Ovis aries: one gene and its partner. The protein of the gene in region 1 purifies or fractionates together with the protein of each later gene. This does not show direct contact. Links are inferred from orthologs where the notes say so. Each region holds a gene or a part of one and is shown on either strand. Other genes may lie near its edges.

Region 1 (3,748 bases):
TTTTCTAGGTAAGAAACAATTCCCTTGCCCCAGGGCAACCTAGTCTCGCTGCCTGAATTCCTACTCCCTTCTCCTTTCGACTACCAGCAAACGGGAAAGAGAGAAAGAGTTAATCATTTAATCCAATCTGAGGCAGCATTTCGGACCGCGAACAGGAATGAACAGATATCTAACTCCGAAAACATAAGGCCAAGTTCCAAGTAGGGAGCCTCCCTCAGCCGTGTCAGAAGCCCTAGGCTCATTCTCTATACCTCGCTTCTAGGCCCACGGTGAGGACAGAATTATTAAGAAAAACAGAAATGGCGGCAGTTCCGCTTTCTGAATGCCTAATCCGCCAGAGCAAAGGTGCCCCAACTTGACTCAAGTTCAGCCGCACACTTACCTAAAGACGCCACACTTCTACGGGACCGGCTCACTCACACCCCACAGCCGAAACTGGGCTTTCGGCAGCTTGAGAGGACAACCCCACCCACGAAGCGCACCTTTGTTTCTGATACAATGTTTTAAATTGCGCGCTGAGTTCGTTCGGCCAATCAGATAGCGAACCTTGCACCTACCAATCAGTGCAAGGGGGCGGGCGAAACCCGGAAACGGTTTTCTTAGGCTTGACCTCTCTGCTCAAATGTGGGACGGGTTACCAACTGTTGGATTTTGGAGCTGGGTCAACTGGAACTTCTGTTTATCAGTTTTTCTTGAACCCTAGGCATTTCTTTTCTAAGAAGCCTGAAGGAAATCCTAAGGCTTCAGCCACCATTCTCTGTTCTTTCGCACATTCCTTCTCAGGAACTCACAAGAATACCTGATTTGGGGCGCTGGTTCATCCTAGGGTGGGGAGAGGGGACTACATTTCCCAGGACGCACCGCGAATAAACGCTGGAACGCTATCTCCCAGAATTCCTTGGGCTTCAATTCGGCCAGAAATCTTCCTTCGGGGGTTGGAGACGTCGGGGCCAAGATGGCGACGGGAACGGGCAGTAAGTATCTGCCTTGCTCTTGCGTGGAAGGTGTTTGTAGAACCAAGGCCAGGCAACAGATCTGTCACACTCTTAGGGAGTAGAAGCAGTGATTCACCTGAGAGCCCAGAGCCATCAGAGACTTGGGCTCGAGCGGCGCTGTTAAGGCCAGCGGTTGGGGGTTGAGGGCCCAGAAGCGTGAAGTCTTACACTTAAGTAAGGCCGCGGAGTTTTTTTGCTTTTAGAATTTTTATTTATTGGCTGCGCTGGGTCTTCGTCGCTTTCCGTGGACTGTTCTCTAGTTGCCGCGAGGAGTGCTCCTCTCTAGTTGTGGTGTGCAAGGCCACGGAGCTTTGAGAAAAGCAGCCTAAGAAAATTCTTGTATGTTTGTCAGCTCTGCGGGGTGAGAGGGAAAAAAGGTGCCTTAGAGGCTCCGGCGTGCGGACAGAGATGCTGTGAGCCATATGGAGTGGCCGGGGTCCCAAAGAGTCATTTTCTGACGAACATTTGTGAGGCCTGTACTCACAGAGAGATGGGACATGTTAATCGTGAGCTTTTTCTGCCACTAGGGAAAAAATACATTTCCTGTATCTCAGCCATTTCCCTCTGTTTCAGGGACTGAGAAGGTCTTGTAGGCCTAACAGCTTGAGGGGAATGGGTGTAACTGAGAGAAGTAAACAAGTTTATGCTAAGAAGGAGGCGGGGCAGTAGCGGGGGTTGGCCGCTCGGAATCCTGGGAAATAAGGCCTGGGGTCCACTTTGGAATAAAGCATTCTTTTTTTTTTGGCCAGGGCAGAGCTGGGAGGTTGGTGGTTGGCAGGATCATGGGACCCACGTCCCCTCTAGGGAAAAGGCACAGACTTAACCACTGGACCACCAGGGAAGTTCCTGGAATAAAGCATTCTTAAAACTGGGTTTTTTGGAAGAACTGCCCTAAATTAACTTGACTTTTTTTTTTTTAAATATGGTAGAGTAACCATGGCATTTACAGAAAAATGTTTTGCCAGATAATCAAGTGCAGTTCTCAAGCAATGAATAGGCACCATCCTAGTGGTGGTGTTTACTAGAGAGGTGAAAATCAAGATTTGGTGATAGTGGCTCACTTTGTCCTTACAGGTTAGGACATTTTTGTATTAGACTTTTAATCCTCCCTTTGGGACTTAGTGCCTCAGTGGTTGTCTCTAAATCTTTCAGAACATAAGCTGCTGAGTACTGGCCCTACAGAGCCATGGTCCATCCGAGAGAAGCTGTGTTTAGCGTCTTCTGTCATGAGGAGTGGAGATCAAAATTGGTAAGGTATTTAGGATATCTGCTTCCTTGGGTATTAGAAACCGTTTTTTTTTTTTCCCCTTCATGTAAGTACCGGTGGATTCCAGTAGTTAACGTTTAAGCAGTAGTTAACAGCCTTCTTGAGATGCAATTACATATCACAAAATTATATTCACAGAATTCCCAGTATATTCACAGGATTTAACTTAATTTATTAAAATTATTAAAACTTATTAATATTTAATTTATTAAATTCACATAATTTACATAGGACCAATGCTAGAGTCTAATTTTACATTTTAAATACACTTGAAAGAAACCTCTTACCCTTAAGGAATCACTCTGCAAATCTCTTCGCCTCTCTAATATTTCCGCCTCCCTCACCAAACACTCATCTACTTTCTGTCTCTCTATAGCTTATTCTGATCATTTCATATAGATGGAATCATATACTTTGTGGTACTCTGGGGCTTAGCATAATGCTTTCAGGGTTCATGCTGGAGTATGCATCAGTACTTTATTCTTTGTTTTGATGAAATTGTAGTTCCTTGTATGGGTTTACCACATTTTGTTCATTTGTTGATGAACATTTGAGTGGTTTTTACTTTGCTGAATATTAATGCCGCTGTGAACATTTGTGTACAAGCTTTTGTGCAGGCATGTTTTCATTTCTCTTGAAAGAGTGGAATTGCTGGATCATAGTTGAGTTCAGTCACTCAGTCGTGTCCAACTCTGCTACCCCATGGACTGCAGCACGCCAGGCTTCCCTGTCCATTACCAATTCCTGGAGTTTACTCAGACTCATGTCCATTGAGTTGGTGATACCATCCAACCATCTCATCCTCTGTTGTCCCCTTCTCCCGCCTTCAATCTTTCCCAGCATCAGGTCTTTTCAAATGAGTCAGCTCTTCAAATCAGGTGGCCAAAATATTGGAGTTTCAGTTTCAACATCAGTCCTTCCAGTGAATATTCAGGACTGATTTCCTTTAGGGTGGACTGGTTTGATTTCCTTTCAGTCCAAGGGACTCTCAATGGATCATATTATAACTCATATTTATCTTTTTGAGGAACTGCTTTCAAACTAAAAAGTGGCCTCACCGTTTTACATTCCCACCAGCAATAAATGAGGGACCCAGTTTTTCTGCATGCTTGGCAAACATTTAGTCTTTTTGATTATAGCTATACTGCTGAGTGTGAAATGGTATTGTATTGTGGTTTTAATTTGTGTTTCTTTTAAGTACCAGAAAGTAGGACTGTGTGTGTTTTCCAATCTTTTTTTCTACCAGGACATAGTCTCATTTTTAACATTTGGTCTCCCCGCCCCCGACTTTTTTTTTTCTCTCCGTATCTAAAGTTACCTTTTAGTTGTCTTAAGTGTTAAAATTACTTAATAAACAAATTTGCATTTGTAGGGTTTATCTCTACTACTTTAACCATTCAAATGAGTTTATGAAAGCACCATTACTGATCACATGTAACACTTCTACAATTCTATGTATTTTTCAAATAACTTTTCAAAGAGAAAA
Region 2 (3,556 bases), on another chromosome or scaffold:
AAGACGAGGGAGTTAGAACTGAAAATGACGTGGGAGCAGTGGATCATGATCAGTCGGTGGCTCGAGACTCGCCCAGGGGGGTTAGAAGACTGAAATCACTATCAAGACTGTGGTCAGGGAAGGAATTGGGGCTCCTCTCACCGGACGCGTTCGCGCCACCTGTCAGACTGAAAAAGCTGGGCGATGCTGAGGGTACCAGGGAAAAGAGTACCCCGGGCCTCGGGAGAAGGCTGTGGACTGCTGGGTCTCTGCCTTCGAGGCGCTCATTTGGAAGGGGAGGGCAGGAAGTGGGGCGCGCTAGACCCCGCGGAGACTTCACGTGGTCTCTGGAATCAGGCTAGGAGACGAAGGCGAACGGGTGATGGTAGGGTGCGCGATACTGCGTGCCCCTCCCCTGAGCCTCTCAACTCCGCCTCTCGGACACGTGACCACAGCCGGGGCGGGGTTGGGGGGGGCTCGCCTAGCTCCCGCAGCATAGCTCGCTCTGTTTCTTCCCTCCCGCCGCTGTGCCCTTCTTCTCCCCAGTTCCAATCCCTCCGCCCTCCCCCCCTCCTTCCGCATGCTCCAATAGGGATTCGAGCTGTGAAGCGCCCGCCCCTCCGCCCTTTTCTTCGCTTTCTCATTGGCTGAAGCTTCAAGGACGCGTCCCGAGGGCGGGGGGCAGCCATTGGTGGGATGAGCAATCCGAGTTCCCGGATGAGGGAACATTCTGCAGTATAAAGGGAGCGGGGAAGGCGGGAGACAGCGCAGTTTGAATCGCGGTGCGACGAAGGAGTAGGCGGCTGGTTCTCGCTGGGTGTCTGACTAGTCCTTTCTCTGCTTTGCTTGTTTGAGCTTCAGCAGAATTCGAAATGGTAAACTTGGTGGAGACGCTCGAAGACTCCGCGGGTTTTTGCCGGCGGGAGAAAAACCCGTTACACACGGAGATGGGGGTGAAGCGGCGACGGTTGGGAACGCGCGGAGACAGGATTTGGAAGAGCAAGGGGAGGTGTTTTGTCGGCGGCGAGCGGAGCAGCCTCGGATCTCGCGGCGGGCGGTGACGGTTGGGTGGCGCGCGCAGCGCCGCTGGGGGCCGGCGGGCGGCGAGCAGGCGGACCGAGGCGCGCGGCCGCGCCGAGCGCGCGGCGGGGGACGGGCGGGCGGGGTCGCCCTTGCGGCGCGCCGCGGGCCGGAGACCCCGGCTGGGCACGGGGCCGCGCTCGCGCCCGAGCCGCGGCGCGGTGGGGGAAGGGCGCGCTGCTCTGGTAATCCTATATTCTGCGTTCCTCCTTCGCTCGCGGGCGTGTGCGCGCCGCAGGCTGGCGGTAAGGCTGGGAAGGACTCCGGAAAGGCCAAGACAAAGGCGGTTTCCCGCTCGCAGAGAGCCGGTTTGCAGGTCAGTGGTTGTTCGTGCATTCTGGGAATCGTGGCGTTTTTCTTTCCTTTTCCTCTCTTGTTTATCATCGCTCTAGATGAGCGTTTCGTCTTTGCGTGGGTGATAGTGTCGCGACTTGGTTTACCGATGCAATAAATATCGGGGGGGGGCGATCACGTGTGTCTGTGGTGGGGCGCGTTGCTGCACCGGCGTCCATGACCCTGCCTTTGGCGCGCGTATAATTAATTATCTTTGGCTCGTCTATCTTTGTGCATTTATGTTTGTGTATGCTAAAAACGAAGTTCCCAGTGGGCCGTATTCATCGACACCTCAAATCTAGGACGACTAGCCATGGACGTGTGGGCGCGACTGCCGCTGTGTACAGCGCAGCCATCCTGGAGTACCTCACCGCAGAGGTAAATGGGTGTACGCCTATAATCTGGAAAAGGTTGGGAGGGGGTGGGGGGAGGCGGCGAGAGGGAAGGAGGAAAGTGATGCAAGAAAACTCCCAGGCTCTGTACGCAGCGAGAAGCTTCCGACAACGCTAGAGGGGGCTGGTGATCATGATGGGGATCCTCCTGAGCTTGACTTTGCGGCCTTAGGAAATAAAATTGCGTGCCCTCTTTATGGCTTTTGCTTATCTTGCCATTCAGGTAGTGGGGGAGATGACAGTTGGTAGATATACCTTCATCATGAAGGTTTGATTCTTGTCTGGATCTTGACGTTAATGAAAGTTGGAAGGAGATTGATCGCATTTTGCCTTCTAGGTACTTGAATTGGCAGGAAATGCATCGAAAGACTTGAAGGTAAAGCGTATTACCCCTCGTCATTTGCAACTTGCTATTCGTGGAGATGAAGAATTGGACTCTCTCATCAAGGCTACAATTGCTGGTGGTGGTATGTAAATATTAACTTATAAATTTCTCTAGAGAAAAGAATTTGCTTTTAAATTTCCCTCTAGTAATTTTCAGTCTAAAAGAGGACACAGTATATTTTCATTGATCTGTAGTATGGTTGCATCATGAAATTTGATTTCTCTTACGTACTTCTGAATTTTTACTCTGCGCTTACATTGAAAGACATCTTCCAAGTTGAACATTAAACTCTTGGTTTTAAAGTAGTATGTTATTTTATCCCTTTTCTAGGTGTCATTCCACACATCCACAAATCTCTGATTGGAAAGAAAGGACAACAGAAGACTGTCTAAAGGATGCCTGGATTCCTTATTATCTCAGGACTCTAAATACTCTAACAGCTGTCCAGTGTTGGTGATTCCAGTGGACTGTATCTCTGTGAAAAACACAATTTTGCCTTTTTGTAATTCTATTTGAGAAAGTTGGAAGTTTAATTAGCTTTCCAACCAACCAAATTTCTGCATTTGAGTCTTAACCATATTTAAGTGTTACTGTGGCTTCAAAGAAGCTATTGATTCTGAAGTAGTGGGTTTTGATTGAGTTGACTGTTTTTAAAAAACTGTTTGGATTTTAATTGTGATGCAGAAGTTATAGTAACAAACATTTGGTTTTGTACAGACATTATTTCCACTCTGGTGGATAAGCTCAATAAAGGTCATATCCCAAACTAGTTGTGTATAAAATTTGCTTGATTATAGTAGGAACAGCTTTGTTTTGAATAGGTATCTTAGCTAGCAATAACTTAAGCACATTTCTTCCCTTGAAATTACTGTTAATTCTGTCTGTAGATCAACAAAGTTAAAAGGCCCAAGTTTTTTTTTTTTAAATACATTGTAATGAACTATTAAAAGATTTTAAAACTTCAGCACAAGTTGATGTTTTTTAGGCTAAGTTTAACCATCTGAGTTCATCAGCTTTGTTTGCTGTTTGTGATAGCAGCAAGCACTACACCAGCGCACTGTGGGGACTTGGGTGGGGTTGGGGAGCAGAGGCCAGGTAGGAAGGTCCTATATGCAGCTGCCTACACAGTCTAAACTTTTCAGTTTAGACTGATAATGTTTGCAGTGTGCTACACGCTCTTTTGAAGTTTACTTGCATTAAATTGTTCAGTATATGGTAACATCTTTGGGGAACATACTATTCACATTTAACAGAGAATCAAGATTTTTTAAAGTCCTGAGTTACCATGTTTGCTGCTATGGCAGACAATATCTTTAGTGAACAACGTGTGAAAGTAGTTACTTTGTAATTAGGTTAAGTGGATCATTTTGACACTTTCTGGCAACTT

Evidence for each region.
Region 2: the proteins of BRD8 (region 1) and H2AZ1 purify together in Homo sapiens (affinity purification with mass spectrometry; 4 studies listed by BioGRID and IntAct, with this or other methods). This does not show direct contact. The link is inferred for Ovis aries from reciprocal best matches to the Homo sapiens genes BRD8 and H2AZ1.

The regions. Positions count from the first base shown.
Region 1 is NC_056058.1:47,270,506-47,274,253, reverse strand, and holds the start of BRD8 (bromodomain-containing protein 8), read left to right. Parts: upstream 1-946; 5' UTR 947-955; coding exon 956-974; intron 975-2,147; coding exon 2,148-2,244; intron 2,245-3,748. UniProt on the Homo sapiens protein: May act as a coactivator during transcriptional activation by hormone-activated nuclear receptors (NR). Isoform 2 stimulates transcriptional activation by AR/DHTR, ESR1/NR3A1, RXRA/NR2B1 and THRB/ERBA2.
Region 2 is NC_056059.1:25,068,195-25,071,750, forward strand, and holds H2AZ1 (histone H2A.Z), read left to right. Parts: upstream 1-747; 5' UTR 748-851; coding exon 852-854; intron 855-1,297; coding exon 1,298-1,375; intron 1,376-1,656; coding exon 1,657-1,770; intron 1,771-2,121; coding exon 2,122-2,251; intron 2,252-2,499; coding exon 2,500-2,561; 3' UTR 2,562-2,932; downstream 2,933-3,556. UniProt on the Homo sapiens protein: Variant histone H2A which replaces conventional H2A in a subset of nucleosomes. Nucleosomes wrap and compact DNA into chromatin, limiting DNA accessibility to the cellular machineries which require DNA as a template.